Caenorhabditis elegans: one gene and its partners. The protein of the gene in region 1 interacts with the protein of each later gene in a pairwise test. Each region holds a gene or a part of one and is shown in the gene's direction. Other genes may lie near its edges. The genes, in order: him-10, C32D5.11, smgl-1 and etr-1.

What was found.
Region 2: the proteins of him-10 (region 1) and C32D5.11 interact in a two-hybrid assay, tested with the Caenorhabditis elegans proteins (one large-scale study listed by BioGRID).
Region 3: the proteins of him-10 (region 1) and smgl-1 interact in a two-hybrid assay, tested with the Caenorhabditis elegans proteins (one large-scale study listed by BioGRID).
Region 4: the proteins of him-10 (region 1) and etr-1 interact in a two-hybrid assay, tested with the Caenorhabditis elegans proteins (one large-scale study listed by BioGRID).

Annotation. Positions count from the first base shown.
Region 1 is NC_003281.10:5,799,342-5,807,267, forward strand, and holds him-10 (Kinetochore protein Nuf2 homolog), read left to right. Parts: upstream 1-3,918; 5' UTR 3,919-3,923; coding exon 3,924-4,028; intron 4,029-4,079; coding exon 4,080-4,234; intron 4,235-4,280; coding exon 4,281-4,832; intron 4,833-4,888; coding exon 4,889-5,194; intron 5,195-5,251; coding exon 5,252-5,309; intron 5,310-5,356; coding exon 5,357-5,653; 3' UTR 5,654-5,771; downstream 5,772-7,926. Other genes in the region: polq-1 (DNA polymerase theta), read right to left, coding at 1,882-2,004, 2,475-3,119, 3,170-3,406, 3,459-3,582, 3,633-3,701; Homeobox protein ceh-10, read left to right, coding at 1-17, 65-366, 734-917, 1,401-1,708; R12B2.3 (Ras-associating domain-containing protein), read left to right, coding at 6,269-6,273, 6,320-6,413, 6,552-6,887, 6,957-7,030, 7,374-7,452, 7,522-7,596; R12B2.2 (Golgin-45), read left to right, coding at 7,789-7,926. UniProt on the Caenorhabditis elegans protein: Acts as a component of the essential kinetochore-associated NDC80 complex, which is required for chromosome segregation in mitosis and meiosis and spindle checkpoint activity.
Region 2 is NC_003280.10:6,350,738-6,359,389, reverse strand, and holds C32D5.11 (RING-type domain-containing protein), read left to right. Parts: upstream 1-3,943; 5' UTR 3,944-3,950; coding exon 3,951-4,048; intron 4,049-4,091; coding exon 4,092-4,253; intron 4,254-4,300; coding exon 4,301-4,438; intron 4,439-4,481; coding exon 4,482-4,524; intron 4,525-4,570; coding exon 4,571-4,668; intron 4,669-4,713; coding exon 4,714-4,897; intron 4,898-4,943; coding exon 4,944-5,078; intron 5,079-5,120; coding exon 5,121-5,894; intron 5,895-5,976; coding exon 5,977-6,048; intron 6,049-6,097; coding exon 6,098-6,506; intron 6,507-6,554; coding exon 6,555-6,628; 3' UTR 6,629-6,860; downstream 6,861-8,652. Other genes in the region: C32D5.12 (3-beta hydroxysteroid dehydrogenase/isomerase domain-containing protein), read left to right, coding at 389-509, 565-735, 1,859-1,979, 2,029-2,254, 2,331-2,456, 2,505-2,618, 2,673-2,867; putative RING finger protein C32D5.10, read left to right, coding at 7,440-7,579, 7,624-7,905, 7,957-8,278, 8,329-8,460, 8,503-8,652.
Region 3 is NC_003279.8:7,921,351-7,929,640, reverse strand, and holds the start of smgl-1 (Neuroblastoma-amplified sequence), read left to right. Parts: upstream 1-3,302; 5' UTR 3,303-3,303; coding exon 3,304-3,380; intron 3,381-3,430; coding exon 3,431-3,547; intron 3,548-3,591; coding exon 3,592-3,966; intron 3,967-4,352; coding exon 4,353-4,767; intron 4,768-4,814; coding exon 4,815-5,222; intron 5,223-5,347; coding exon 5,348-5,731; intron 5,732-5,983; coding exon 5,984-6,882; intron 6,883-6,930; coding exon 6,931-7,035; intron 7,036-7,078; coding exon 7,079-7,444; intron 7,445-7,578; coding exon 7,579-8,290. Other genes in the region: nmy-2 (Myosin-11), read left to right, coding at 61-249, 301-990, 1,038-1,902, 1,949-2,395, 2,443-2,570.
Region 4 is NC_003280.10:158,999-167,260, forward strand, and holds the start of etr-1 (RRM domain-containing protein), read left to right. Parts: upstream 1-4,102; 5' UTR 4,103-4,143; coding exon 4,144-4,326; intron 4,327-5,407; coding exon 5,408-5,645; intron 5,646-5,702; coding exon 5,703-5,828; intron 5,829-7,072; coding exon 7,073-7,152; intron 7,153-7,754; coding exon 7,755-7,907; intron 7,908-7,962; coding exon 7,963-8,080; intron 8,081-8,175; coding exon of another isoform or gene 8,176-8,262.

The DNA of each region.
Region 1 (7,926 bases):
TGACTCTATTGGAAATGGTAGGATATTCATAGTTCATAGATTCAAACGAATTTTCAATTTTCAGCACCTGCTCCACTGATGTATCGAATGCCAATCTCAACATCAGAGGTTATAACTTCGGAGCCCCAGACTCATGTCAGCTCATCAAGCATCTTATCATCAGCAACTACATCAAATTCTTCTGGTGGTGGAAGCAGTGGTGGTGGTGGAAAGGCAAGCAAGAGAAAGAAGAGAAGACATCGCACAATTTTCACTCAATACCAGATCGACGAACTCGAGAAGGCTTTTCAAGATTCTCATTACCCAGACATCTATGCCAGAGAAGTCCTAGCTGGAAAGACAGAATTGCAAGAAGATCGGATTCAGGTCAGTTGATTTTTCATTGTAGCCCCTTACCAATTACGAAAACGGAGCCCCTTTTATCGGTCGGCATCCATCTTTTTATTGGTGCTAATTTCCTCCATTTTGCTCTTCTTGACTCTCGGAAAGTTAGAGGACATGCTCCCCCACAAGAATAGGGGCAGCAATGTGTCAATTGAATTTCTTGAATTTCCTTCAAGACAAGTCAAGACACGGCCAATTGGCTGATAGTATTGAGTGAAACCCAAAATTCTAAAGGGTTCTCACGCTTCTTCGCTTCTATTGGCTTACTGAAACCTGAGACCTAATTATCTATTAGATGACAAATTGTGTAAAAGCTTTATCAAATTGTTCAATCAAGTATATTTTTCAGGTATGGTTCCAAAACCGTCGTGCAAAATGGCGAAAAACCGAGAAAACCTGGGGAAAAAGTACCATAATGGCAGAATATGGGCTATATGGAGCAATGGTACGGCATTCTCTTCCACTTCCGGAAACAATTACAAAGTCAGCTGAGGCGGCGGATCCACAACAAAGTGCTGCTCCGTGGTTGTTAGGTATGTGAAGATGTGACTTTGCATGTGATAGTTGCGTTAATCAGCTTGTTTATGAGGAAGAGGGGAGAATGAGTCAGAAAAAGAGTTTAATTTTGTGATAAACAAATGAAATTAGAAAAGATCATGAAATTGGACTTTTGGTAGAACAAAATTAGTCTATCTAAAACTTTCAACTGGGATAATTCCGGATAACAACCGGGAACAAACAAAAAATGGTATTAAGATGTTTTAATTATAAATTACAAACCAAACTTCAGGGTAGCTTGAAACTTTTAGAAAATGAATTGTTATTTTTGTGTTCTTAGTAAAACTTGAAAAAAAAACGTGCAAAACTCCTAACAAAAACTAAATTTTTTGAAGGTGCACCATGATAGGTATTAAAATTGGAGAAATTACGACAGTGACACCACAATATTGCACCACTAATTACCCTGAACCACCTGCTCTGACCCATTTCATTCCCATATGATACATTGTTTTCAGGAATGCACAAGAAAAGTATGGAAGCTGCGGCTCACTTGGAGAGTGTTGAAAAATGTGATATGTCGGATAGTGATGATGATGACCGTCCGGTAACTCCTCCAGTGCAACGTCAAGTGAAAAACGAGTACAAACCACGAATAATTGAGCATGTTCAACAACAAGCTCCCCAACATCAGTCATCATTGAATTTCGATACTTCACTTGTTGTCAGTTCCTCACTTTCACAATTACATTTTCAGGATTCTCAAATGATTCCGAACAATAATGCTTCATTGAAGCTTTATCATGATTACAATAATCCCATGTAACTCTATTTTTCCGTGAATTTCAATGTCAATAACTATTACCTAAATAATAAATTAATCTGCTAATAACAACAATAATAATGAGCGGTCAGGAAACAACCACTTCTTTCTTTTTTCTTTTTAATCGCCGTTTGTCAAGTACTTATTTGAAGATTTTGCGGGAAAAGAAGACGTACCTCGTGTAGCATGTCCTGTTCTTCCCGCTCTTCCCACCATCTGACGGTAATTTAGAGAAGTGAGAGCCGATGGGCCACGTGGCTGAGCCTTGATGAGTACTCGTTCCGCAGGGAGATTTACGCCTGGAATTCTATTTTTTTATTTGGAAAAGAAGGTTTTAAACTTTTGAAAATGTAAAGTTTGAAAAATTATAATAGTTTTAATCTTAATATATCGACGAATTTGAACCTTTTATCTTATTTCATCAATAAGAAAAAAGAAAACAAAAATTTAATATTCTTCAGCTAAAAAGGGCCAAAATTGTATGCTATTATTCGAAAAATCGACATTTTGGAATCTCGAAAAAAAAACCGAAAAATTTTCGCTTTTCGATTTAAAAAAAAGGGAAGAGCGGGATTAGCAAACAACTGGAAATTCTTGAGTGAATAGTATTTTTTGAAAGTTTAAAGTAAATTTTTATCAACAAATCTTCACCCTAAATGAAAATTATTGTTTGATTTAATTTTTTCCCCAAAAATATTTCAACAAACATTTTGCTTTTAATTTCTTCCGATATTTCGGTTGACCACAATTAAAATTTTAAAACACTCACCTGAAGCCAAAGTACTTGTAGCCACAAGAATAACAATATTTTTCTCCCGAAATCCTAGTTCAATGCATTCTCTTTCCTCCATCGTCAATCCAGCATGATGATATGCTACTCCCCATGCAAGTGTTGACATAACATTCCGATCCTTGCAACCATTCCGTTCCAATCCATGCTTTATAAATAATAGTCCATTGGCTCGTTCTTTTAATATTTCCAACAATGAGCTGTCGGTTTTATTGATCTCATGGAATCTCGACGCAATATTCAAAGCAGTCTTCTCGGCATCAAGTTTCGAAGAAATCATTACCAAAGTCTGAGAATTGCGGCGAAAACTCTCTTCGGTAAGCAATATTAATGGATCTTCAGAGAATTCTCTTAGAACTTTGTTATCTCCAGATTTCCTCAACTCCGAACCAATTACAATATGATTTTGTAGAACAATTGGTCGAAATCTTGCTTCGAAAACTTTCGCACCGTCCAGCCATTTGCCTATTCGATAAAGTTCTGGAATAGTTGCACTCATTCCGATAATTCTAACTTTTTCCAGTGCAGATTGGTTCCAGAGCAAAACTTTCGAGAGCATGTGCTCAATGTGTGCACCACGAGACGAATCGAAAACCATGTGCATTTCATCAACGACTATCATTCCTGAAAGCTACTTTTTGTGAAAATTTTAAATTAAAATCGATTTATCTAACCAATTTCCTCAAACCAATCTTCTGATAATGCTCGATTTGTCAAACTTGCTGCTTTTTCGATGGTACAAACTGCCCCAAGCCACTCATTTGGATTTGAGGCCTGTGGACCAATGAAGCCACAGACAGAAATGTCATCTCGTCTCCAACACCGTTGAATTTGATGAAGTTTCTCTCGAGCCACGGAGATATAAGGAAGTACGAAGAGTACCTTTCTACCAGTTGAAGCGACTTTCCATGCTGAAAATTACAGTTTTTAAACATTTATTCTTTAAACCAGATAAAATAATACATAAAAGTTCAGCTACAATGCTTTTCCCAGCACTTGTTGGCGCACTGAATATCAAGTGTTGATCTTCAAATTGTCTTGCCTCATTCAACACATCAATCTGCCAATCGAACAGCGCTTTGATGTTCTGAAATTAAAAAAATTTTGTCCCTATTTCATCACAGCGATTTATGTTACCTGCTCTGCGTAATAATCGATGATTTTTGAAGAAACCCATTCTGGAAATCTACAGGAAGCCTCGTCCATCTTGTTTCATACTAAAAACTCTGATTTCAGACTGAAAAACATGTTTTTTTCAGCGAAGAAAACTAAAATTTGTTTGTGGCCGCGGTGGCCTAGTTTTCACGGCCGAGAAATGTCACATGTTTTGGCGCGCTCTTCGGCGAATTCAAATAAACTTTTTTGTTTTTAACAATTTCTAACTTTATTTTTGTGTTTTTAGAACTGAAATTCCATTTTTCAGGAGAAATGTCAAACGTTGTACTAATTGTGTATGATCCGCGGATGATTTCAAAGTATCTTGGTCAAAAATTGCATATGGGCCTTGTCGCCGATGACATTATCAAGCCAACCGTAAGTTTGAACAGAATATTGAATTCATCAGCACAAATAACCCGATTTCAGGCAGAAATAGCGCAACAAATATTTGCTAATTTTGTGAGGCTTGTGTTAAATGTGTCGGAAAGCTCGCTGACGACCCTTCCGCTGTCCGCCAACTGTGATTATGATCCAGAATTGCATAAAAAGAGCATTCCTATCATTATTCTCTTCCAATGCATGTAAGATTTTAATTTTAATGTTAGATTTGCTGAAATATTTTTTCAGGAAAGCATTTATCAAAGATAATTCTGGCAACAAGCTGGACTTGACGATGTGCGATCTCGTGACACCTGCAAAACACGAACATCGATTCAGAAAGCTGACAAGTTTTCTTGTAGATTTTCTGAAACTTCACGAATTGGCCACTCCAGCGTTCAATGAAATTAGCGAAGAGTTCAGTGATCGAAAGTTCGAAATGGAAAAGATTCGGGAAGAGTTGTTAGAAGCCGAGAAGAAGAAAAATGATCTTCTCGCGAAACAAAGCATAAGAAAACGTCATGAGCATGAATTAATCAACGAACAGAGCAATGCGAAGGCAGAACTTAAAAATGTTGTGAACGAATATACCGAAACTCGTCAAATTAATGAAGAACTCGACAAGCAGAAAGAAGAAGCTATTCTGCACATTCAAGCCCTCGAAAAGGAAATGCTAACTGGTAAAAAGACAATTGAGCATTTGAATGAAGAAGTTCTGACATCGCCGGAACAGCTGAAACAAGAAATGGAGGAAAGGAAACGTCACATTGAAGAGCTCCGCGATTGTCTTGAATCATCAAAGTACTGATATATCTTCAGTCTCTCCAAAAATTCAAAATAAAAGTAATTATTTTCAGAAAAGGCCTTCAAGCAAAACTCGAGGCTCGTGAAATTTGCATCAACTCGGAGAAGAACGTGCCAGTGATTATTGAGAAGATCCATCAGTGGACTGAAGTTCGAGAAGTTATCATTGACCTGATCGATGTTGAAAGTGAGAATCTTCGAAAGCTCAAGGAAATGGAGGAGCAATTGGATTTTATGATGAAGGAGATGGAAACGGCACAAAAGCGACTCGTCGAGCAGTCGGAGACTCATGAACAATTGCGTATAGAACACACGCAGAAAAGTGAAGAGCGTCAGCGTAGAATTGAGGAGATTACCGAGTGAGGAATTTATTTGATACTTTGAAAACATTTTTTTAAACGATGTAAATCTTTCAGGCAAATCGCAAATTTGAAAACTAGTCAGCCAGATGTGTCACAGGAAATTGCTAAAAAGGTTTTTGTCAGATCAATCTTCATAAAACTCACCAACATTTTTTTCAGAAGCAAGAACTCCTCGCTCTAAAAAACGCACACAGTGAGACGATTTCCCAAATCACCAACTCTTGCCAAGATGCTGTTGCAAAATTCGCAAAACTTAATGCAATGTTCAAAGAAACCCAGAAAGTAGCTTTTGAGAAGAACACTGCAGCTGCACGTGAAATGGAACGTCTAAAAAGCTCTCTTACCGGACGCCTTCTGAGTGATTACACATTCGGATCATCGACAATCGACGCCGGAGAGAACACGGAAAATTGTGATCCACAACCTAACGATTCGAGTTTTTCCGTTTTCAAATAGAATGACTCAACTCGAAAATTTCACTTCATTTGATCTCTATTCAATGTAAATGTTATGCTTTCTTCCATACCAATAACAAAATTTTAACTGAGTCTAAATAAATCATGTGGTCTTTATTTTCAAATGTTTTCTTTTCATTCCCAGGCTCTAGAAATTTCACACCAATTTACTTTTCAGGTAAGAATTCACTCAAGTGGTATTTACGGGGAGATTATGTGCCTCTGTTTTTAATTAAAAATAAAATTAGAAATTTTGAATTTTTTGCCTTGTATTTTTTTGTTTGCGTCTTTAAGACTACAGTAAGACAAAAAGTGGGCGTGGTTTCTTATTTTGGAGAAAGCTCAAACAGGGAATAAGTGAGAGTCGGAAGTTTTGAAACGTTTTTTGAAAAAAAAATTATCTTGAAATGAAAACTTTTCCAGAAATTTTAAACTTCTCTTCGCTCATTAGCTCTACAAGTTGGAATTGTCCTTCTGAATTGAATATTATCCTACCAAAATTCTAAATAAATTTAAATAAATCGTGCGGGCCTCGAGTTATTGCATTCAACATTGACATTTTTCGTTCATTTCTCAATTTTTGTATTGTATTTCTGAAAAATTCACTCTACAAATTATGCAGTAAGCTTTTTCAAATAATGTTCTTTTCAGATTTTATAATTTTCAGACCATTAGACCTTTCGGGTAAGAGATTAGTTCGACCAGATGATTCAAATGGTACAAGATCTTCCACTGATGATGTACATTCGATGTGCTCTCAGGTGAGCATTCATAGTACATGATGATGTTTTAGTTTTATATATGTAAAAGAAACGCTCTTTGAAGTTAATTGCTTTCCATGTGTATAAACTAATCATAAACTAAACTGCAAGAAATTAAAATAAAATTATATTTAAAAGCTCTCAAATCTGGGACCCCGATCTCTTCCAAATGCTCGTTCCCTTGGTAGCTCAACATCTTCAATTCTTCTGCTTCATAAAACTTACAAGGAAACATCGGCCCCGCCTCCAAATCAAGTCGCATTCAAATCAGTCATCTTGGCAAATACCCAACTTGTGACGGAATTCCTTCAAAACGGAGAGCTTCCAACTTTCAAAAAACAAAGCTCGCGGAGCACCAACAATCCCTGGAGACGATACGGTGCTCTACGCAAGATTTGTGAAACCGGAGGTTTCGCTCCGAATAGTGGATCAAAGAAGGAGAGGAAGAATCGAGAGACTTTAATGGCGGTTAAGGTAATATCTCGTGGATCCTGTCACCATTCAAGTGGATAATCTGAATCATTAATTTTTATTCTATTCCAGCAAAATGTCAAAGTCCCAATTGCACCAACATCTGCTCAAATGACATTGAACAAAGTTAAGGATCCGGGACCGTAGTAAGTTTTTAAAAAATCTAGATTTTTTGGAATTAATTTTTGAAATGGTTAGGCTTCCAAAGTATGGTGCTACCTCTGGCCTACCTACAGCCTATTTTTTCTGCTTTGACGCAAACTCCGATGTTTGGAAGAAGTTTGTTTGGCCGATTTCTAATACTAGTGAGAAGAAAAAACTCCACTTTTTGGGTGTAAATAAAAATTATTAATACTTTTAATCCAACTTTAAGATTAATTCCAAATATATATCCTAATAGTAAGATATCTTACCCATTTCCTCTTACCTTTTTGATCAAATATTTGAAAAGACTTCTCATATTGTTACCCAATCAAAAAAACATTTCAGTGAGAATAAGCTGGCTCTGAAAGTTCCGAAGAATACGACAGTCGATGTGGCGGCTCAAAATCTTGCCGAGCAAGTGAAGGTGAATAACCTAGAAGAAAAATCGATAGAAATGTCCTGTCTCTTTTTCTTTTCACTCTCTCATTTCCAGATATTCATTCTTCAATATGGTGTTGAATTGGTGGATAATGAACCGGAGATCAATCAAGGCGTTAAATCGAAATGAAATATTGAAATTTGATTATTTGAATAAAGTTGAAGAGCAACGAAACTTGTTAGATTTTTTAATAAAATGTCGGCCATCAGCCACAGCCGGCCACCCAGCAGCCGTCGTCTCCTTTTATTGACTTGACCATCTCTTTTCCACCCTCCTGTTTCTTCATACTATTCTCTGACTTTTTATTAATTAAAATATTTAATGGATCTACTAGATCTATACCATGCTCATGATTTGCAACTTGCATCTGAAGGAAATTTTGAGGAAGTGCATTTTACGAAAAGAGCAGAAGAAGATGGAAATTCAAGTCCTGAGAGTAAAGGAAAAATAAAAAAGACG
Region 2 (8,652 bases), on another chromosome or scaffold:
TCTGGTTTCTAATAAATCAGAATAATTTCTAAATAGTTGTCAGACCGTTGACCAATTCTTCTTCTTCTTCTCAACCGCCCATATTTGATCACCTGAGAATGTTCGTCCCTTGAAATCTAAAAACATTCGTTCCAATAGGATTCGTGAGAATCCTAAGCCTACACACTTAATTGAAGAATGGGGTCGCTGCTTATCTTAAACTGAAATCTGAATCTCCGTAAACGAACCTCTTCAGCCTGTTTTGCACCTCCTTTATCCTCCTCTTCCTTTTCCACTTTTCTTCCAATTCACTCACTTATTTCCAGTTGCACTTGTTCTAAAACCTGTCCAATTTACAACTTTTTATCACTTAATAAGACAACTAATCTATCATTTTAACTTCAGAACAATGTATACCGTCGCCGTGACCGGTGGTGCTGGTCTTGTTGGACGTTATGTTGTTCAGAGATTACTAGAAAATGAACAAATCGCAGAAATTCGGATTATAGATCGGCAGAGCACTTCCAGAGGTAAGTCTACTTGATTTCCATTTTTTTAAAATTATCTAAATCTGTCCGCTTTCAGATGAAAGCAGAAAAGTCAAGCTTTATCAAATTGATCTTAATGATAGAAAATCATTGGAAAATGCATTGAGAGGATGTGATGGTGTAATTCATTGTGCTCATTCACCATTTCCAATTTTTTATTCAAAAGATAAAGAACAGAATAATCTGATGTGGAGAGACAATTTAAATGGTAAGGTTCTCTCTTTTTCATCCTTATACAAAGTACAGAAACAAATTACTTTTTTCGTGTACAGTTTTTTCGCTACTTGGATTTCCAAGAAAACTTGTAACTTGTAACATCTAAAAAGTTTGCTATTTTAATTACTTTCACTGAGTAAATCCAAAATTCTATGACAGTAGAAGTGAATAATATATCACCTCTTTTACTACCGAAAAAATTAAAAAAGCCGCTGTGGTCAAGTGGCTAAAAATTTTGCCATTCACGTAAACGTTCGCTGGTTCAATCCCTGCGGTGATAAAATATTTTTTCAAGTTCTTTATTGACAATTATTGTAATTCTAAAAAACAATATTCCGAACTCCATAAATTTATAACTTGCTTTTTCTCCAAATGAGATTTCACATTTTCGCCTTTTCCTAAATCTATCCACCATTTGAACTTGAAATTTCGAAAAAAAAAAGGTTACACTGTAAGAAGCACATTCCAATTGTCAATAGACAAGCAACTAAATACACATCTTGTTGAAAACTTGACCATTCTGCGTCATTTCATTCTCTGAAACAAGAAATTGAACGATTCGAACGGAATTGGATATTAAAAGATGCAATACCATAGCTTTTAGTAGCTCTTTTGGAATCAGAAAAGAACTAGAAACATAGATGAACTATGGGATTTATAAAATTTTGTAAAATTTTGTTCCAAATAGAAATAAATCTACAGTAAATTCTCCAAAGTCTCCTTTTTTTCTAAAAATATCCAAAAATGTTGTTTGTTCCAAAAGAGAAACCCATTAGAACATCTGAATAAAACGTATTTTTCTAATTTTTATGTAAACAGAAATCATTCAAATACAGTGATCATTGATGAAATGAAGTTTATTTGAAAGATTATAGTGGTGAAAATAAACTTTTAAGTGTACAAAAATATTTTGAAACTTGGTAATGAATGAAAATATGATTTCCTACTAATTTTCTATCTTTTGAAATTGAACTTTCAGCTTTGAATACACCTGAAAAATATTTACAAAGGTGTGAGGATGAATTTTTTGTAGAATTTTCGAAGTTTTTGAAATTTTCAGAAAAACTTGGTGATCTGTATTAAAAAACTTCAAATAATTGTTTCTCTTTTTGTAGCCTGTGAGAGTGTAGTCGACACAATGACCAATCTGAACATCAAGACCCTGGTTAATATCGGATGTGCTTATTGCCCAATTCCAAATGAAGATAACTATGGATTGGCGCAAGACGTGTTTCTGTAAGTGTCAATTTGTAACATTAATATGTGAAATTGACTGATATTCTAGTGATTATCCAAGAAATTACATGCTGGATGAGTATGGAGAATCTCGTACTCGAGGAGAAATGTATGCGAGAAAGGCCGCAAAAAAGGGATCTTTCAATGGAATTTTCTTGAGACCAACATTTGTTTATGGTCTTGGAAAAAGCAAAAAGATTGACACAATCAAAGAATTAATTTTGAATTCTGCTCTACCATTTGTAACTGGAGAACGACGAGGAATGCATCAATTTGTAAGTTTTAGAGAGCTTCTATTTATTTGTGATATGTTCTACTTTGTCGGTTATGTATCATAAAATCCTTTCTCAGATATATGCTGGAAACCTAGCTGCAATCGCTGAAAAATCATTTTTCGGATTAATTTACAATTCGAAAAGATTGAATGGAGAAATTGTGTTCTGTATGGATGAGAACTGTGCTCATTCAATCAGAGATGTAAGTTGATAGAAAACAAATTCAACTTTTATTTTTTTTAACTTCCAGTTTTTCGAAAGTCGTTTTCTTAATCCAAATTACTGTCAAGAAGTAGCTGTCAGTTATTGGCCATCATTTGCCACTTCGTACTTAAACTATTGGAAGAATATGCTTGGATTCAAGGTACACTCTCAATTTACAGATAAACCAATATTTTTAATTTTTCTGAGTTTTTAGATCCCAGAAAACATTCTAAATCACGTTGCATTCCGTTTGTTCTTTGAGAAAACTGTTGGATTTCCTAATAAGAAACTGCGCCTGTTATTGAATTCTAAACCGGAAATCTCACAAGAAGAGGCATTCAAATTGTACGCGAACTCCAAAGCTTCGTATTCGAAGGAGGCAGTAAAGAGACCAACTGTGCAAGGATAATTCCAATTAATCCTAATAAACTTGAAGTTCAATCTGTTGAATCAGTTTCATTGTGCTTTATTAAAAATAATACTTTGCAAGTTATCAAATAAAAATTGTTGAAGTTTTGTCGTGTCGAGACCCAGTACCGTATTTGGCGTGTCAAAAATCGCGAAATTTCGCCTATGGGGATACGATAATCTAAATTTTAAATTCAAAATAGATGTATGATATAGGAAAATATTCCATCAATGTCTTTATTTTATTTATTTTGTTTGTATTTATAAATAATATATTTATTTCGAATGCTCGTCTGTTTCATGATATTGTCCTCGTGTTGTTCACGGCCGAAGTTTTTCACAATTGTCAATAGAGCGTTTTTGAAAACTCGTCCGCAACGATTTGAAACAAAATTTGTACAAAACTTTGTTGTACAAAATTCTGTACAGAATTTTGGCTCATTGTTTTCAATATTAACAAATCTTTGTTTTATTCTGCTTCTTTCTTTCTTCGGGGCTTACCAATTTATTAATTTAACTTTTGATTAATGAATAATCATTGTTTTTATTTCACACAAGTCTTCGAATATTTTGCTAATTTTAAAATATGAGAAATTTAATGGCAAAAAAGTTATGTTCATCGCTGACTGCGATCGGACCTGCGAGAAACCTGCTGACGCATTTCTCGATGCCAACGCCTCGCTTCTTCCCTCGCTCTCTCGTTTTTCTCTAGTTTCTGGGAATTCGTTCATGTGGTTTGATATATCGACTTTTTTGGCTTTAATTTCAACAATGTCAATACGAATTTATCAATCTGCAAGTGATATTTCATACCACGGAAGCATGCTATCGTATCTTTTCTGAAATTAATAGCCAAATCTCGAAACACGTTAATATTATCGTTCTAGAAGTGAAATCCGACGACATTTTTATTTTTTAAGCGATAGCTTGCTATGATTCATCATTTAAGTCATAGTGGAAAATCGATATCAGTATTTTCGGGTCGTCCTTGCCTCATTTCTGAAAAGAAAGTCATACTGCTCATTATTGATTTTTCTACTATAATGAGTGATAATAATAAAAGAAAAATTCTTTCAGAAAAACTATGGGGGACAGTGGTGTGGAACCTGTCATACCATCTCCATCAACAAGTTCAAACAACCCGGTTGAAGAATTGCAGTGCACAATCTGTTTATCTACGAGGTTGGATATAAATTCAAACAAACAACTAATTGTTAAAATTAAGATTCTCTCAAGAATGTCGCATCGAAGGATGCAATCACTCGTTTTGTTTTTCCTGCATTTCTGAATGGGTCTGCCAATCTCTACGCCCTTCATGCCCAATGTGTCGCAAGGATGTCGATAAAGTGTCGTATGATTTTTCAGAGCAAAAACTAGGACAAAAAGAGTTAGAACTTTTATTTTATTTATATTTACGATAATTTTCTGTTTCAGGATTGCAATCAAAGAATATCGAAGCGGGCATATGTCACTTACGCCTACAGATCGAGTTCAACTTCTCAGCGAAAGGAGACTAGTTGTCAGAAATTTAATGCATTCCTACAAGGTTGTAGGCTTGTTATCATCAGAAATGTGAGTTTGCTTGGCTTTTCCAACAAAACGTTCTATATTTCAGAAGCGGTATCGAAGAATCGAAGGAACCAGATGAAATCTTGAAGGTAAAAATTAGCACGCTATATAAACAGACTAAATATTTATTTCCAGAATGCATTGATTGAGTTAGCCGCTATCGTAACACAGCATATTCAAAAGGCAGAGATATCACTATCGGATCTTAGGACGGAGCAGGCTCGAATCAACAAGTATCAGTTTAATTGAATGAATATATTACCAAAAAAAGATTTCAGGTCAATTGTTTTCAATACGGTTACGTTTCGTCGAATGGTTTACACAAGCAAAGTCAAAGTAATGTATCCTGATTTGAAGAAAGTTAAAATCAAGCCATCTGATATTGCCAGAGAACCGGATCGTTTTAGAAATGTTATCACGAATTTTTTGATAGCTGAGTTCGACGCTATACCTTTCCAAAATGTAAGAAAATTTATTGAACTTTCTTGAAATTTTTAGAATTTTTCAGCAACCAAAACTTGCCGGCCACAAATGGAGAACAAAGTTTCTAGGTTCCTGCATCGATATGCAGCAAAAACAGCGCTATGCCGCTCAAATTTACGAGCTTATGCTGAGTCGTCCATCGGGTGATCATTTATTCCGGGTACGTCTACAGGAAATTTAATTTAAAACTGCTAGTTTTCAGAGAGAACTCAATGAAATTCTAACGCCTGTTAGTGCAGTTCATATTCAATTTTTGGACGATCATTTGGATGCAATTATTGCAATTGAAAAGTTAACAATCGAAGAATTCTACAACGAAGTTTACTATGATTCTATATACAATAGTTTCTCGAGTAACTTCTTTGATTATAACTCTATGGGACGTGATGATCCTCAAAGCCGATTCGAAGCACTCTTCAATCAAATTCATCGTGATATCGGAAGTACAAATGATTGGATGGATACTTATGTGGCAGGACGTCTTCTTCGTCAATCTTCAAATACTGATGGAACGGACCGTGCCACGAATAACGATGATGATAGTGATCGTTCTGAGTCGCCAGAAGAAAGAGTTCCAACGCCAATGCCTGACGAAGATCCACGTGAACAATCGTTGGCACGAGCATACTACGAACAAATGCTGGAAATGCCAAATCGGGTACCGCTGTCAATGAGAGCCTACCACATGATGCGTGATCGAGATGTTCGTGTTCGATATCCAACTACAGAAGAACCGGTTCCAGTTGAGCCTGTAACATTTGGACAAACTACTAGAACTTTACCTATTTCACAGCAACCGACAACTTCTCGCAGTCATATGACGCTGAGATCTGCAATGAGACGTTTAGATTCCGATCGTCCGACAGACGAAGAGATTCCGCCGATTGAGAGTCGGCCCCAGACACGCCGCGAAATCGAAAGAGATCGACTTCTACAAAGAGTTCGGGAATTTGATAATCGATCACGAGGGCTTTCGGTGAGTATTATTGAGAATTTATAAAGAAGTGAATGTATTTAATTTAATAGTAAGTAAAACTTGAAGATTTTCTATATTTCAGAGTCTCTTCCGTCACCCTGCATCGTCGGATTATACAAGTCGACGATTCACTTCTGATGGTTATTCTGGATTGGTTGGTTTAAAAAATATATAAACATAAAATATCATCAAAATTGTTTCAGGTTATGCTCTCGCCACGGTTAAATTCAACCACTACATCATCTACGAGTATACCTGTTTATCAGCCGCGAACTATGACGAGTAATGATTTCGCGCATTTAAACCGAACCAGAAGCATTTTGGAGAGAAGACATTTCCCACAGCCACCACGGGAGCAAAGAATCGAAGAAGTGGAACAACTTTTCAACAGAGCTTACCAAAATATGCAGCAAACTCATCAAGCAATTCAAGAACATGCTAGCACAAGCAATGCACCGACACAAATTCCTCGTCCAGCAACTCCAGCACCCGCTATATCTGACGAAGAATCTCGATCACTTGCGGAAATTGTTGCAACCATAAATCAGGAGGATGCTGATAATGGACTTGACTTTATTTCGGTTGCTCATCGAACAAGATCCGCAAGAAGAGGTAAATTTCTAACTTTAAATTGTTTTTTACCGAAATTTGATTTTTCAGCAGCCGAAAACGGGCATCCACCCGAGGGACCACCAGCCAAAAGATCAACAAACTCTCGTCGTGATAGACGTTAATATCCAAGAAATACGCTCATTTAAAAAAATAATCTTGTTCGAGTTTCTTAAACATTATATCTGTATGGATAAATGTACACTCGCTTCTTAAACAACCCGTTTCCTTCACTGTTTAGTTGTACCTTGTGACATGTACATTCAAATGTTACTCAACCCCCGTTTTTTTTCATTCTATGTGTTCTGCTTTTTTCAAAAACTTTATTAAAATATTTAATGAAATGTTAAAATAATATTTTGAGCGAATCAGTTTGTGAAAACTGTTTTATAGACAGGTTTTTGGTATTTTCTGTGTGTTTTTTTATTATTTATGTTTTATTGAGAAAGATGTTTTGTTTGAGAGCAACGAATCTAATAATAACAAAACTTACTATAAGCTAGAAAATTCCAAAAGATGCACCCAACTATTTTTTTTTCCAATTTTTCATAATAATCTATTTGTGAGTGTTTTCTCTGTATCCGGTTTCTGTTCTTTCCATTTTTTAAGGGAAATTTCCTTATAAAAATTCAAATATCTCAAAACTATGCTTGTGCGCTCCAATGAGATCTATTTGATTGCTTCCATCTTTATCAACATTTTAGGCTTTTTTATTTTACTTCGACTACCTTCTTTCTTTGATATTAATTTTAATTTATTAATTTAATTTTTAAAAGAGAAACTGAAATTTCAAACCAGAATATGGGAAAAATTAGTTAGAGTTTTCAAACTTGAAAATTTTGCGCAAACTGAAAAATATTTGTGAGAAACTAAAAAATTTCCGATAGTTTATTTTTTAGAGGAATATTTCAAATCTCAAAAGAATTGAAAAGCTCAATGGATTCTCCGAGCACAAGTGAATCACCACTGAAAAAGAATACAATTCAGGATTTTGGAGAAAGTAACATGACAGAAAGTCCCCAGTCTAAAGAAGAAATCGACGAACCGGAAGAGGAGTGTTCGGTATGCAAAAATGAGTAAGTTCATTCAATAGTATTAATTAAAAATTGATTTATTTCAGAATTATCGATACAACCTCGTTGAGTGATTGTTGCCATGAATTTTGCTACGATTGCATTGTAGGCTGGCTCACGAAGGGATCCGGTCCTTTCTGTCCAATGTGCAAAACACCAGTTAGCTTCATCCAACGGAAAGGAACCGATGAGAAAATAACCGTCCAGCAAATAAAATCCGAAGGAGAGCCAGCAGCGACTGCTTCAGAAGATCTTGTGACTGAGAAGAGAATTGTGTCGAGAAAAATTCGAAGTTGTCGAAGGCTAATGAACCAAATTGACGAGATCATGTAAGAGTTTTCGATGAGTAATATACAAATTGTATTTGAACATTCTTTTAGTGGAGCAACATCAAGTAGATCTGATAGTCAAAAAAGGAAGCCACGATTAGAAGAGTTGAACTCGATGAAACAACTGTGTGTCTCACAATTGAACTCCCTGCAAATGCTCCGAGACGACATTGATCATGGAGCAGCAAAAGCATTAATTGTCTCAAAAGCCGCATTCCGAAGATTGATCTATGAGCGTCAAGTTATATCAGAAGGATTGCCAGATGCAACTAATTCTCTGTCGAAAACTGAATTCCGTGATAATATCGATCACTATCGAGCAGTTTTACACAGTTTCTTGAGCGTCGAGTTGAAATCCCTTCCGGCGAAGACGGTAACGTTTCCCATTAAAACATAAAAGTGTTCTAATGAAAAGTATTTCAGCAACCACGTGTCGACAATGAAAATAGCTGGTATTTTTATACACTTCATGATGTGGCCGAGGGAAAAGACGAAGAGATTATCAATAGAATATTCAGTATGATTGAAGATCGTGGAACGCGTGATCTTAATGCGGTAGTTCAAAAACAAATTTACCATAAGTTTGAAATGTTTCAGAGAGAAGTTGATGCAGCATTGAATGGGCTTGTATCATGTCGGGTTGTAATTGCATTTATTGCTGAGCTGAAGTCTTTGATTAACAGTCGAAAGTCATTTTTGGAGTGGTGCGGTGCCATAACATATCGAATCAGAACAGATCGCGGAGGT
Region 3 (8,290 bases), on another chromosome or scaffold:
CAATCTTGTCATTTATTGATTCAAGATTGTTTTGATCAGTTATAATTGTCCGTTTTGCAGGCTGACAAGGCAAAATCTTCTGCTGAATCTGATAACGAGAACTTCCGTGCCGAGCTGTCCAACATAGCATCGGCTCGTCTGGAGGCGGAAAAGAAGCGGAAAGCGGCCGAGACGTCGTTGATGGAGAAGGATCATAAGATGCGTGAAATGCAGTCAAATCTTGATGATCTTATGGCTAAGTTATCGAAGGTATGAAAGCACGACATAGAGAAAGTTTCTTGACATGATTATTGTTTGCAGATGAACAACGAGCTTGAAAGCATTCAAAAAGCAAAGAGTGCTGACGAAACTCTGAATTCTAACCTTCTCAAGAAGAATGCTTCACTCGACATGCAGTTGTCTGAGCTTACTGAAGCTTCTGAGGAAGATCGTCGAACTAGAGCCACGTTAAACAATAAAATTCGTCAGCTCGAAGAAGATCTTGCGGTTGCTGTTGAAGCCAGAGATGACGCACTTGACGCACAAGAAAAGATCGAAAAAGAGGTCAAAGAAGTCAAATCTCTGTTGGCCGAGGCTAGAAAGAAGTTGGATGAGGAAAATAGAGAGGTGATGGAAGAATTGCGGAAGAAGAAGGAGAAGGAGTTGTCAGCCGAGAAAGAGCGGGCCGACATGGCTGAACAAGCAAGAGATAAGGCTGAACGGGCCAAGAAGAAGGCTATCCAGGAGGCTGAGGACGTGCAAAAAGAGTTGACTGATGTGGTGGCCGCAACTAGAGAGATGGAGAGAAAAATGAGGAAGTTTGATCAACAGCTCGCCGAGGAGAGAAACAACACTTTGCTCGCTCAGCAAGAAAGAGATATGGCTCATCAAATGCTACGTGATGCAGAGACGAAGGCTCTGGTGTTGTCAAATGAATTATCCGAGAAAAAGGATATTGTGGATCAGTTAGAAAAGGACAAACGGACTCTCAAACTAGAGATTGACAATTTGGTAAGAAATTTATCATCGTATCATCGTATTTCAATGATAATTTATAGGCCTCCACCAAGGATGATGCTGGAAAGAATGTTTACGAGTTGGAGAAGACGAAACGTCGCCTTGATGAAGAGTTGAGTCGTGCGGAACAACAAATCATTGAACTAGAAGATGCTCTCCAACTTGCTGATGATGCTAGAAGCAGAGTTGAAGTCAACATGCAAGCAATGAGATCCGAGTTCGAACGTCAATTAGCCTCTCGCGAAGAAGATGAGGATGATCGTAAGAAGGGACTCACTTCTAAAATCCGAAATCTTACCGAAGAGCTTGAATCTGAACAACGTGCTCGTCAAGCTGCAATTGCCAACAAGAAGAAGATCGAATCTCAAATCAGCGAGTTGACTGAAAAGAACGAAGCTTCTTTGAGACAAATCGAAGATCTTTCGCGTCAGCTTCGCAAAGCCCAACTGGGATGGAAAGATCTCCAGCTGGATGTTACAGAAGCTCGTGCTGCCATGGAAGATGCTCTTGCTGGACAAAGAGACGCAGAGAAGAGAGCTCGGGCTTCGGAGGATGAGATCAAGAGACTCACCGCCGATATTCAAGCTGTCAGCTCTTCAAAACGTAAAGCAGAAGCTGAGCGCGATGAACTCATTGAAGAAGTTTCTAGTCTTCGCGCTTCCTCATTCAGTAATGAGGAGAAGAGACGTCTTGAAGCAAAGGTAATTGATTTGGAAGACCAACTCGACGAGGAGGCTTCGGCAAATGAATTGGCACAAGAGAAGGTTCGCAAGTCACAACAGCAACTAGAACAAATGACAGCTGATCTTGCAATGGAAAGAAGTGTTTGTGAGAGAACAGAATCAGATAAAATTGCATTGGAACGTGCGAATCGTGATTTGAAGCAACAACTTCAAGATGCTGAAAGTAAGCTTGTGATGAGATTGTTTCGTATGTTAATATAATTTTATAGATACCGCTGTGGCTCGTCTTCGTACACAAATCAACGTTGCGGAAGCCAAAGTTTCCAGTCTTGAGCAACAGCTTTCATTGGAAGAGCAGGATAAGATGCGTCAAGGCAGAACCCTGCGACGAATGGAAACGAAAATGGCAGAGATGCAGCAAATGCTCGAGGAAGAGAAGAGACAAGGTGAAAGTAATCGTCAGGCTGTTGATCGTCAGAATGCTAGAATCCGTCAACTTCGTACACAGTTGGAAGATACTGAGGCAGAGCGAGACCGTTTGACAAACAAGTTGAAGGACGAGCGGAGAAGAGCTGAAGAGATGACTGATCTCAATGAGACACTCTCCAGAGATGTTTCTTTATTGAAACAGCGTGAAACGACAGCTCGTAGAACACCTGGATTGATTGGACATCGTGAATCGAGAAGATTTGGAAGCAACACCAGCCTTGCACGAGGTATTTTGTTAAAATTTGTTATGAAATTTAAACATTTATAATTTCAGATGAATTCCGTGGATCAGCTCTCACAAACGAAATGTCACCATCTGACCGTCCAGCTTCTCGTCTCACATCTGGAACCGGATCCCAACTTGGCAACACCGATGAAGACCGCGACTCAGTTCGCAACTAACCTCTAAAGTTTTTAATTCCGGATTATTTTTTTGTTTAATTTACTGACCTGATTGTATCCAAACGTTCCCAATTCTTATCCATTCCCCTATGTTTTTAGACCATGATTGTCCCCTTGATCAACATTTCCCTGCACAATCTGCTTTAATAGTATTCGCCGTGTTATAAATTTGCACAATATCGCATGTCACGTCGTTCTTCTCGTTTCATGTCTATCACCATCATCACCTCAGCTTCAATATGTATTTTTATCATTTACCGCTTCCCGGTAGAACATTTTTCGTACGGATAGTGTCCCAAATAATGCCCCAACATTGCTTCCCATTCCCCAGGCACTATCCGGTTGTCCCAAGTTTAAATTATTATCGAGTTGAAGATGACAAATAAAAACGAAATTTGTGTTTTCGAGTAAATTGAAGACGCTCATTTTACTGCAAACAACCGCTATCAAAATTAATGAACGAAATGCTATATTTAAATGTCAGTTTTGCATTATTGAATATCTGTGTGAAAAGTTAAATACCTGAAATGCAAGTTAAAGATTTTGACTTTCACTTTTGTATTTAATGTAACAAATTGACATGTCCGCAATTTGACGTGAAAGTGTTTGCACTTGGTCTACGTTGTCGATTTACGCAGACGTCCAACACCTAGGCGGGTACCTCTTTAACTTTTTGTTCAGTTTTCCTGATATTAATCCTCATAAACTCTTTAAAATAACAAATTTTTACAGAATGGCGCATATGAGAGGAACAAATCATGAAAAGGAGAAGCACGATGATGAAAATTCAAAAATATTATTGAAAGAACGGTATTTTGTGATTTATGGCGAAATTTTATAATTTTCTGAACGTTTTCCAGATATAATCTTCTCAAATGGTTAACCAATGTGGAAATGCGTAGTCCAAATGTTTTAATTCCAGTGCAAATTGCGAATTATGTGGAATCTCTGCCTTTCTGTAAATTAGCTGTTTCGCCGTATGGATTGGGATAGAAAAACGGATATAAATCCTTTTTTTCAGAAAATGTGATCGAGTAGCGGTAATGAGCTATGCCCGTCAACTGGATATTTATCAAATAAGCGGAGAAATTCTGACTCATGAATCAAGTGTTCAAGTTCTTGAAGAAACATCTCCAGAATACTGTATACTTCAATTTTCCTCATCAAGTACTCTGATATTATCATCCAGAAGTACACCGCATATTGATGTATTTGATAGTATGGGTGCATATCTCTATGATATTCCTCTAGAACTGCATGAGGGAATATTCGATGTAAATTCGGCTATTTGTGGAATGCAAACATTTGAAAATTATTCAAGTTCTTCGAATGATAAATTCATCGAAATTCTCTACGTATTGCAATATTCTGGAGTGTTTTCAGCTTTCAAAATTGGGTAATTATTTCTATATATCAAATCAGTAATTTTATTAATTTTTTTTCATACAGCACCTGCATTGTTTAGTCGTTTTACTTGTGTTTTCTGTGGATGTAGGCATATTTTCAATTCTATCTACTGGACGTAGAATTAAAAATGTTTGAGTAGTTTATTAAATAAGTATCGTTATGAATTGGATTTAATTTAATTTATTGCGCTCTCTTGGATACGAAAAGCGCGAAGGAAATTCGCTATTTTCGGACCATTTCAAGTCCTTTAGAGCAAGAAAAATTCCCGCTACTTGAGTACATTCAACTTTTGAAAAAATTATATATTCGAAAATTTACAAAAATTGACTATTGATATTTTCTTTTCAAACAAAAATTTCAATAATTTTCTTTCAGAAGACTATCAAAATACGTGAAAATGTGGACTGTTCAACTGGATATTGGACAAACAGGATCATTTACAGTATTACCACAATATAATCTTCTGCTAGTTGCATCTCATCACAAAGAATCAACATCATTAGTTCCACCAGCTGGTTTATGCTCATTTCGAATGATGGATATGGATCCATTTGTTGAACCAATCAGAATATCAACTCCTGATGGTGGATTCTTTTCACGTCTTCCATTCTCTACATCATTCATGTCATATCTTCCGAGAATGTCCTTGTCATTTGATTCTCAATTACTTGTATCTGTATCTACTTCTGGATCATTGTATCTATTCGAAATTCCATCTCTTCACGTTAAATTCTCTTTTAATTTCATTAGTGGACCTCGTCCTGTGGACGCATGTTTTGTTGATAGTGATGTAAGTTTCTGGTACCATTTTCAAATAATTATTGATTTATTTTACAGGAAATTGCAGTAATCTACGATAATGGATATCTCCTCAGATGTTCATTGGAAGATTTGGAAGAGAAAATGTATTCAGTGAAAATGAGATCAAAAAAAGAAATTGACGAGGAACCAGAACTCAAGGACTTTTATAGTGAACAAACAGTTATGGTATCACCTGCACAACGTGAAATATTCTTGCTCACTGCTGACGGTGACAACTCTTTTCTTCGTAAAGCAGCTCATAAACGTGTTCAACTTGCTGGTCAATTGTGGTTCTACACAGTTTGGAACTCGCTGAAAAAGCTCGTTGGAATGGCGATGGGTGAGCCCGCTGAGCAACTTCATTTTGAGACTCATATAGCGAAATTCGAATTTTCGTTGATACACTCTCCAACTAGGACTTTGCAAGAATTGTTCGATAGAACAGTAAGTATGAAAAAAAACGTAAAGTAATTGAAATTTAATTGAAAACGCAAAAAGCGCTGTTTAAAAAAAAATATATATAATACAAATTTCAAGATTTTTTTAAATTCCAAGTTGTGTTATTTCAGCTGAAGGAACATGATTACACGAGAGCAAGAGAGCTAGCAGAAACCTACGATACAATTGATATATATGTTGTTCTTAAATCGGAATGGATTGATAAATGCTCCAAAAACAAAGTGACAGTTGAAGATGTTGAAGATATTCTAAAACGAATCGGAGATTCTGAATGGGCTGCTGAACAGTGTGCAAGTGCAGATTCAGATGACTTTGAAGTTCACAAGGCACTTATTGATCTCGGTTTATCACTGGGAGAGTCTAGTGTGACATGGCAAATCCGGTTACTTCATCACTGGAGAATGTTGGAAGTTTGTAGAATCAAAGGAGACGTTGATATTTATATGATGGCTAGAAATGGAAGTTGTTTGGATGCGGCATTGACATTTGCACATGTACGTTTATACAGAAAGAGTGAGAATTTAAATATAAATTAATCGGGTAAAATATGAAAATATATATATATAATTTTCTTATAGCCAAAATAGGTCAAATCAGATTTTCTGGCCAATTTCTGAAATTATGATAGTGCAAACTTGCGTAATTGACATTTTTGGCTGTAAAAATCTAAAAGTTTTGAAAATATTTTCAGTGATAATTTGCTAAATAATATAATTTAAATAAAAAGGAAATAATTAATTTTTCAGAACGGAGACATTGATTCGTTGACACGAATAATTGAATCAAACATGGCAGTTATGAAGCATCATCAGAAACGTATTCTCTCAGCAATTCCAACATGTACTTCACCTACAAAATATGAGATTCTGATGCCAAAACGAGAAGACGGAGAAACAGAGGAACAATGGGAACTTGAAGAACAAAATGATGGAATTTATGAACGATTGGATAAAATTTTAATGGAACATCCTGATGCTGAATCTTTAATTAGAAGTATAAATGTTGGAAATATTCCGAATGAAGAAACATTTGATTTCACTTCATGGGTAAGAGAAACTCTACCGAAGATTGATTTTGAATGTGGAATGACTGATATTTGTGTTAATTTACTTCAAATAGCATATGAAAGAGGATATGAAGATCTCATTCATGATCTCGCGACGTGGCAACCATACGCACAATATATTCGAATTTGTTCGTCTGTCAGCGAAAGCATAACTTCGTTTCAAGATTCCACGATGAAGTCATTTACGGATCGGTTTTCGAGACTTCTAGATTCGGAGCTTATCAAAAATGCAAAAGACATTGTTTCATTGATCGAATGGAAAATAAAAATGACATCCAGTGATAGTGAAGAAAGTATAGAAGATCGATTACGTGATGCAGTGACAACATTGATGAAAGCTACAAATGAACGAACGACGAAAGTATTAGTGGCATTTAGGAATGAACTTCCGAGTGTAGTGGATGATCATGTAATTCTAGAAGTTCTTCTTAACATGACATCAACTGGCGCTGATCTTATGAAATCTCTTGGTGATCTTCCAGTTGATAAATATGTGAACGTCACTTCTTCGTTAGGATCATTGATGTCCAGGGGTGTCAAAATGACTTTCAAGTCGATTTTCGAAAGCATGAAAGAACCGTAAGACCTTTTATTTATTTGAAAACTATACTCACTTCTAATTTTCAGTGATGGTGCAAGAAGAGTCCTTATCAAACTATCCCGATCTGGAAATTGTTCTAATTTTGATGACTGGATGTCACTACGAGATGATATTTATGATATGGCCAATGGGTACATTTCTAAGGTTTTAACACTCTAATTTAATTATTTTTAGAATTTATGAAGATTTGGTGACCACAGAGGAGGCTCTGGAAATATTTGCAGGAGAGATCCTAGAGGAAGAGCGAATTGGAAGTCATCCCGAACTCATGGAACTTGTGCTAACACTGAATCCGAAAGAAGACAATAGTAATCCTAGAAAGCTGAGTATTGCTAAAAGCGCAGATGTTCTTCTTTCGAAAAGTGACGAGTTGATGAATGAAGCTACTCAGAGAGGTGATCCTCTTCTTGGTAGATCGAGATTCTTCGCAGTCGCTGCAAGGCCGATATCGCCGAAAAAGTCGAAAGAAAAGCTGGATTGGTTGGATGCAATTGATGCAGCTCTTGAACTCGGATGCACCATGATGCCTATTGCAATCAAGTAAGATTCGGAAGTTTTAATGAGGAATGAAGATTTTCCTTCAAAATAATTAAAATAGTCTTAAACTCAGAAATGCCAGAAAAAATAGAAAAAGAACAGCCCAAAAAGACTTACAACAGAGAATGAATTTTCAGATTTTGCGAGCATGACTCTCTTCTACGAGATGTTGTCGGACTGGGATCAAACTACAAACAAGGAAAGAAGATTCTAAGCTTCGCAAAACAACTCAACATTGACACACCAATAGCCACTGCTCTTTCATATTGTGCTCTTGCTGCACTCAATGCAAATGATGCCGTCTATCTGAGCAAGTACATTGGAGAAGTTATGAAAGCAAAAGGAGTTCCAGTTGTCCACAAGCTTTGTATGCAAATTATGAACTCATCCCATGTTCCAACTGATATGGAGGATGTCTATTCATGTGCTGTTCTGAATTCGAGTGAGGAAAATCTATTGGATACTGTTGATGCAATTGCATCAAGTGAAAAACGATTGAGTGAATCACGACGATGTCGAGAAATTCGATTAGATGATATTCCAGTGTCTGAAGCTGTGGTTGGAGATCCAATGTACACACCAATGAGGCTCTATAACGCAAGAAAGGAGATTAGTGGTGACGTGAAACAAAAAATAACTTTTTATGGGAAACGAAATTTATGGGAAACGAATTATGGGAAACGAGAAGGATTTGATGTTATGAAACGGCTGTATGCACATGAGTCGTCTACAGTCGCCCTATGCTTCTCTCTGTTCGAACCAGCTGAAAATGTGGAAACGGGAGAGCTCAGTTGGACGAAAAATGATAAACTTAGGCGATATGAGCGTGGTCTACGATTTTTCCAGGAC
Region 4 (8,262 bases), on another chromosome or scaffold:
AAATATATAAAGAAAACGAAAAAGTTTCAAAAAAATAGACACAGTTTTAAATCTTTCGTCTTTCTAAACATTTCCGGCAAATCCGGCAAATTGCCGGAATTGAAAATTTCCGGCAAATCGGCAACCCGGCAAATTGCCGGAATTGAAAATTTTCGGCAAATTTCCAGAATTGAAAATTTCCGGCAAATCGGCAAACCGGCAATTTGCCGAATTTGTTGGCAAAAAAATTGCCAAACGGAAATTTTTTTGGAACATATGTATTAATGTTTTTTTTAGTATAAATTATATTCGGTCACTCCTACATTTTACCAAATTAAAAATTATTCAAATTATCACAAGCTTTGCAACGAAAGGCGTCTGATTAAGCGACTATAACACCTGACGGGTTGTGCAAGCATCTTACCACCGTCTCGATGCATCATCATTCATTTTCTTCATCTTTCCTCCTCCGTTGTCTTCTCTCTATCGATTCGATTGGAAAAAAGAGGGGAGTATCTTCAGATGTCTACCTTCTCTCCGTCTTACATAGTGCCTAGATGACTATCTAAACTGTCTGCCACCCTCCTGAACATCTTTTCGTCTCCTTTTCTTCCCATCGTCACTGTTTTCTTTTCTTTCAGCGGGAGGTGTTTTATACAATTTGTATATTCTTGTCGTTGTCCTTGCAAGTTTGTTTTTTGTTGGTTTCGCTAGACTAGGTTCACTTTCGTTGAATACTACAGTAACCAGTGGCTGGCTCCGAGAGCAAACACTGTGCGGTAATTGGCTCCCCGTTTCTTGAGCAAACAAACCGTAATCTGCTCGGATATTTTGCTGAGAAAATTCACAATTTTCCAAAAATTCCATCCATTCTCACATTGTCAGCTTGGAAAAAAAGGTTCCCATTTATTTTTATGCCCTCCATTCCATTCGCCTCTTCCTCTTTCGACGGGACGGGGAACGTACCCATGAATTAGATGAGCCCCCGTCACACACGGCTCGCCTTTAGCCAATTCTCCGTTCCTCTTTCATTTTCGCGACTGACACATCCTCTCATTCAATAGTTCACATTTTTTGGAAGCTTTTTGGTTTTTTTTTCCGAGCCAGAAAGTTTGATAATTTGGCAATTGATGGCAAAATTTGAATTACATTAGAACATCTGAATAGTTGCAACATGGATATTTTTGTTAACCGTCTTACTAGGAAATTATCGAAACTGGCACTCATTTTACCCGAAAACCTGAAAATTTCGAGAAAATCGGATGTATGTCGGTTTTGGAATCTCTCCAGAATATCAATATATAAGAAAATACCAACTTACAAATTTTTTACGAACAAAAACATCAGTTTGAATTCTTTCGACTAATCGTTCTTGAAGATTGTATACAAAAACGTTTGAAATAAATGCTCTTTTTTCATTTTTGTTCAATAATTTTTTTTTCTGACAGTTTAAAAAAATATATTCCGATTCTGAATAGATGCGGGTAGTAAATGTCAACGTATATTCCACTTTCCCGAGATTCAGCCTTAGATTTATAGATTTTTGAACAGCTGCCAATCTTAGATTTCAAAAGATATTCGTTTTAGGACAAATAGCCAATGAATTCGAAAATCCTGAAATCATTCAGAACTACAGTAGACCAGCATTGTTTATTACAATCAGATGTGCTAAACATTTCGTATATCCTACAACTCTCATTATACTTCATTCTTATTCCGGAAGGCGTCAGTTTAACCGAGCATATGTTCGCCAGATGTTTTTAGTTCTGATGATCTGTAAGGTTGTTTTACACCACCCACCCAGGTGTTCGTAGATCAGGATACTTCGAGGCCAAAGCTTCCAAAAACGGAATCGGCGAGGATTAAATTAGGTTCCAAACCCTCGGGGCCAATGGTTTTCCAGGAAAAGCGGCATCTGGAAAATTACATACTGCGGGAAGTGTGAGAAAGTGACAACGGAAAACATATGTGCCGCACAAAGTCACACGGCAAGAAAGATTACATTTTCCCAATTCTCTAGTCATTTGACTAGATTCTTGCCTCTGAATTTTAGAGTCTGAAGCTTCTATATCCGAACAAACAACACTCCTAGGAACTTACCGTATCCTCTAGAATGTTTCAGGCTTTATGGCCACCTGTCGTATGTCACCTTCATTACCTTCTTTAAAGGGATAATCGTGTCGAGACCCTGACCCCCGTCCTGGCTGTCGTATCGTATCGTGTTGTGTGTGTTAATGATGTCGATTTACGCTTCACAAAAAAAAGATTTGTTCATTTTTTGCATTGAATGATTCTCATCATCACTGTGAAATGAAACGACCCGTCTCCCCTCATCGGGACAAAAAGACATAGAGAATAAGACGTGGAGATTGACAAATGGTCAGTTCAACACAATTAGCTATCCCCCTGCCGTCGTCTTCTTTCAATCTTCTCTCGTTGCACGGACCAGCAGTGATGGTGTACACTAAAAGAGATCTAAAGAAAATGCTCTCGGGAGCCTTTGGAGCTGTGATGCTCTCTGTGCTATTACACACGGTAGCTCGTGAGCATCCATCCTGAAGGAGCAGCTGTCTTCACTAAGTCTTCTAGGCTATCTTTACAACAACGGTGTTCTTTTGGTTCCGCCCTTTCTTTTCGGATAGACGAAGTATTTTCAACGTGTGTTTTGCTTTAGAGTGAAACCTTTTCAAAATTTCTCATTAGGCAGATTACCCTAAGAACTTACAACGAAATTTGCGTACATTTTTCAAATAAAACATGCCAATTTCTGGAGCCTGGAGGTAAGCTGGCTTCCATTTCATGTTAGAGAAAATGACTTCAGACATATATATTTATTTTCTTGTCATTCTTTTCTCCCTGCCAATCTTCAGGCTACTCCATTTATAATCGGTTTTCTTCCGGCTCCCCGTTGTTGCCTTTGCTAGGGGAAAATAAGAAAAACGAGATGACTGACATTATGAAAGACTGAACGTTTTGTCGGTTTTGGATCCAGAATGTATTAGCCGTCTGATACGCTGCAGCATAATTCGTGACACAGTTTCTGAGAATATTCTAAATTTAGAAGGGGAAAATCTTAGAATCCAGAACTGACCGAATCGTTGGAGAACATATAAATACGTTGCAGACAACTGTTTTATTTGTGTTCAACAAATACATAGAAGACGTCCCTTTGCTGGAATATATTTTTGTTCTTCTCTGTTTGTATTGTTACTGCCCCGCGCGCCGCAAAAAGCAGCAGCAGTCGGGTGGCGATAGTCTCTGAGAACAGTTCAAATTGAGGTGATCCCCGCCCCATTCATCAATATATTTCTTCCACATTTGAACTGATTAATGTCAGAAAAGAGTGAATGATTTGATAAGAATCTCTTCTCTGGCCAGAACTTTACACACACGGTCCTTGCGCGCACGCAGTACTGATAAACTCGGCTGATAACACAACATTTTTTCTCCCCCGTCCTTCTTCTCGTCTTCCAAATGTCTTAATCACCGTTAATACCGTCCTTCTCGGCGCGGTATCAGAGAGGCAAGAGGCAGACAAAGAGGTATTTCATCGATAATAGTACTGTTTTAGTTGTTCTCGCTTTCTATTTCGATTTTTAAGTATACAGCTCTAATAATGTTTCCCTCGGAAAAATATATCAGTTTTGGAAATCTATATCTATAATGGCTCTTGAAACGTATAAACATATTAGATCTAAAATGACCGATTACGGCATGTTGTTCCAAAATTGTTAATTTAAAACTCGTTCTGAAATGAAGTAGTTGTTGATCTGAAAATATAATAAGGATTTTTCCATATTTTGGCACTAACTTTTAATAAAAAAATGTTATGTAGAATTGGCAAAAGTATTTGACGATCTCTCTTCTCTTTCAATATACGGCTTATATTTCACAATATTTTTACAACCTATAAAGCAATATTATTATCGATAAAATACCTTTCGCTTTGATAATTACCTTGCTTCAAAGTTATTGCTTTTTATGCGTATAGTTGATTTTTCTATAGTTTTGACCATGAAACTGCTAGATTCGTGCATTTCCATTGCTTTTAACACTCTTTGTTAATTTCATCATTTTCATACTTTAAAAAAAAATTTCTCCATTTCAGACACATCTCCTCACACCACCATAATCTCAACCTTCCGAAATTCATCCTTCCATGATATGAGCGGAGCTGTGCTACCAGCAGTTCTAGTGGTACCAAAAATGGAGTCAGTAGTCGTTCCGATTGCGGAGTCCACCGTCATTAATGCCAAGGACACAACACCATCCACGGCAGCGGACAACGACGTGTCACCGTCCCCATCGGAGCCAGACACAGATGCGATCAAGATGTTCGTCGGCCAGGTAATCATACTTTCTCAAACTTTTATTCGAAAAGTGGGCATAATTGGCTCACCCCAATCTCCCAATTCGATTCAATTTCATGTATACATGCACACAATGAGACTCCCCCCGCTCATCCATTTACTGAGACACTTCACTACTACTACACAAATTTGATAAAACTGAATAACGAGGAGACGGGGTATTGGATTTGTGTCTATTTGGGTTCGACCCCCTTATTTTTTCATACGCGTTCATTACCATATAAATGATGAGGGAGGTTTTCTCGACTCAAGGGCATTCTCAAATTGATGAAGACGGACAATGATCATCAATTTTTTAGAGTAATGATGATAGAGAAAAGTAGGGCAACAACAAAAAGGGGAAAGATATGGACTTTTGCGGAGAGTAGGGTTTAAATTAACACAGTTGTATGTGTATTGAATTTTTGTGAAAAAGAATGAATCAAATATCCACATGACATGTGGCTTTTTATGGGAATTTCATAGCTCTCTCGAACAATAATAAATCGTGGGAATAATATTGCAAGTCATATTTCATATTTTTTTTGTCATTTCAAACACGTAGCCAACATCTATATTTTTCGTGATTTTCCCAAAGATAGAAATCATATTATTCTGAAAGTTTAAAGGTGGAGTACCGAAATCTGAGACTTTGATTTTTTAGAACCAAAATAGCCCAAAACTACCGAATTTCGTTCGTAATAAGACGTTTTGAAAATTTCTCAAAAAAAAGTTATTTAGCTGGAAATGACCTTTTTTGCAGAACTTTGAACCGCCATAACTCTGTTTTTGAGAAAATTTCAAAACGTCTCATTACGAAATTTGATAGTTTTTGGTCATTTTGGGTTTGAAAAAGCAAAGTTTCAGATTTCGGTACCCCACCTTTAAATTACATCAATTTTCAACAAATAATGGGGTTTTTCAAATAGTGTCGCGAAATATCACGAAATTTATTGAAATAAAATTAGACTGTATTTCAATACATTTCGCGACACTACTTGAATAATTCCATAAATCAATTATTTTAATAGAAAAATGACATTTTAAAATTCAAACTCAACGCAATACAAATTTTGCAGATCCCTCGCCAGTGGAACGAGACAGACTGTCGGCGATTATTCGAGAAGTACGGATCAGTGTTCTCGTGTAACATACTCCGTGACAAATCGACACAAGCTAGCAAAGGCTGCTGCTTTGTCACATTTTATCACAGAAAAGACGCGATAGAGGCTCAAGGAGCCCTTCACAATATAAAGGTTATTGAAGGAATGCATCATCCGGTACAAATGAAACCAGCTGATACTGAGAACCGAAATGGTAATTTACTGATAAATATAAAATAGTATAAAAATTACAAGAAATAATTTATTTCAGAACGAAAACTTTTCATCGGCCAGCTCAGCAAGAAGCACAACGAGGAGAATCTGCGTGAGATTTTTGCCAAATTCGGCCATATTGAAGATTGTAGTGTGCTTCGTGATCAGGACGGAAAAAGTCGAGGTAAGTGGGGGAAGGGCGCATTAAGTAGGGTATCTTTTTCAAAAAAGTGTAAAAATATTTACCTGTCTCTATGCTCTTTTTTACTATTTTCTCTATGTTTTCATCATTTTCTGTGTCATGCATGTTGAGCGAAAAGGTGGGAAGAAGAAGAAGATTCCGAAATTCGAAATTGAGCTGATTTACACGTGGCAAAATGGTCTTGATACGATTGTCACAGGGTTTAGAACATTTTCTAACAAAGTTGGTAAATTTGGATGTATGACTTTAAACCCAACATTTTGAAATTTTTGGCTAGTACCCTCAAAAAAATGCGTGGTGTGTATCAGGAGTGTGCGGCAAATTTTTGCCGGTTGCCGGTTGCCGATTTACCAGATATGTTCAATTCCAGCAATTTGCGGTTTGCCGATTTGCCGGAAATTTTTAATTCCGGCAATTTGCCGACTTTCCTGAAATTTTCATTTCTGGAAATTTGCCGATTTGCCGGAAAAATCGTTTGCCGCCCACCCCTGATTTGACCTTTTGAGTTTTGAACTACAGTAACCCAAAAGGTGGACATTTTTGGCTAGAAGTTAGAAAATTATAAAAAGCTGTGAATTTGAAGAGCAATGTTTCGGAAAAAGTTAGTATACCTAGCTTTAACGAAACTTTCAATTTTCCGGTATTTTTAAAATAAATTTTTAAAAAATTGAAAATCAAAAATATGTTGATCCTAATGAGAGTCAAAAATAGAAGTTATTTAAAATTGGATTTTTTTCAGAAATTTTTATCCAATTTTCCGATTATTCAATTATCTTGATAAATCCTCGATTATCGATATTCGATGCCGATATTCGATCGATATTGAACAAAGTTAAACTTTCGAAAACTAAATATGTCAAAATTTTTGGGTTACTGTAGCTTCAAAAGCTAATATAAACCGACTACAGTACCCCAACGTTTTTGAAAAATTTCGACTAAAAAATTAAAAAAAAAAAAATCATAATTTTCAGACCAAATTGCCACGTGTGAATTACAAAAAAAACAAATTTCTGTTCTACAAAATCAAAGTAACGTCCTGATTTTTTTTTCGAAAAAAATGAAAGTTTCATTTTCTTGCCCTGGTATTCTATGTAAAAGTAACAAGTGAGTGTCGAAATAAAAGTTTGAAGTCTGAAATTGGCTTCACACAACATATACCCAATGTCGATGATTCCTCTATCTCTAAATGTTAATCAATATTTTCATATTTGTTTTTTCTCCAACAGGATGTGCATTTGTAACGTTCACAAACCGCAGCTGTGCCGTCGTCGCCACCAAAGAAATGCATCACTCGCAAACGATGGAGGTTCGCATATAGCTTTTTGTCTCTTTTTTATATTTATTTTTATATGTTTCTTGTATGTATGGGAACCCTTCTGCTGTAAACTCTAAATTTAATTTAAAATCTCTGAAAATTGTCAAAGTTAAACGGAAAAGTGTGTTTTACCAATTCTATTCATTAAGGATAGTGTAGTCAAGATGTTAGTGTCTTTAAAATTGCTTTATTAGACTCAAAATTGTCTGAAAACTTTTTCGAGAACTTTTCGAGAATTTTCATTTTTAAATTCGGTGTGTTCAGACAATTTTGAGACTAATAAAGCAATAAAAATTCGTCACGAGAAAATATTAACTACTATAGTTATTATGAAATTAAAAATAAAAATAAATTGCATTTTTCCTGAAGTTTAAAAGGTAATGTCAAAATTTAAAGCAGTTTCACTAATTTTCTTATGAATGTGGTTTCCATGTTGAGTGTTGAATTTTCAAAGTCATATATTTTCCCATGCTTTATTTACAAATTTAGATTATATGTTTAGAAACGTAGTTTTTTCCTTCATCATTATTCAAAAATTACAATTTTTATAGGTTCTTTCTATAGAATTCTAATTTTTAAATCAAATATTGCAGGGATGCTCAGCGCCGCTTGTTGTAAAGTTCGCTGACACTCAAAAAGACAAAGACGTGAAGACGAAATCAATGATCACTGGAAGTGGAGCCGGTTCACCGAAAGGAGGCGCGGCAAGCTTGCTTCAAAACTTGAATCCGGCGCTGTTGCAGCAGGTAAAATATTATAAAACATCAATATTTTGTTCCTAAACCAAATCAAAAGTTTCAGCTCGGCGGTGGACAAAACTATCAAGCAGTAGCCTCACTTTTGTCTCTTATCAACGGACAACAGGGACAACAACAGCAGCACCAACAGCAACAAAATGTTTTAGGAATTTTGGGAACAGGTAAACTTAGTTGATAATCATTAAAAAATTGTACACGTAGTTCAATAAAATATAATAAAACTGAAAAAAACCCACGGTCGCAATATCCGATTCAGTGCTCTCTGCGCTCGGCAAGCTAACCGAAGGCGGTGACGACGCGTCGGCAAAGTCCTCATCGGAAAAGCCACGCCACCAAGCGTTGA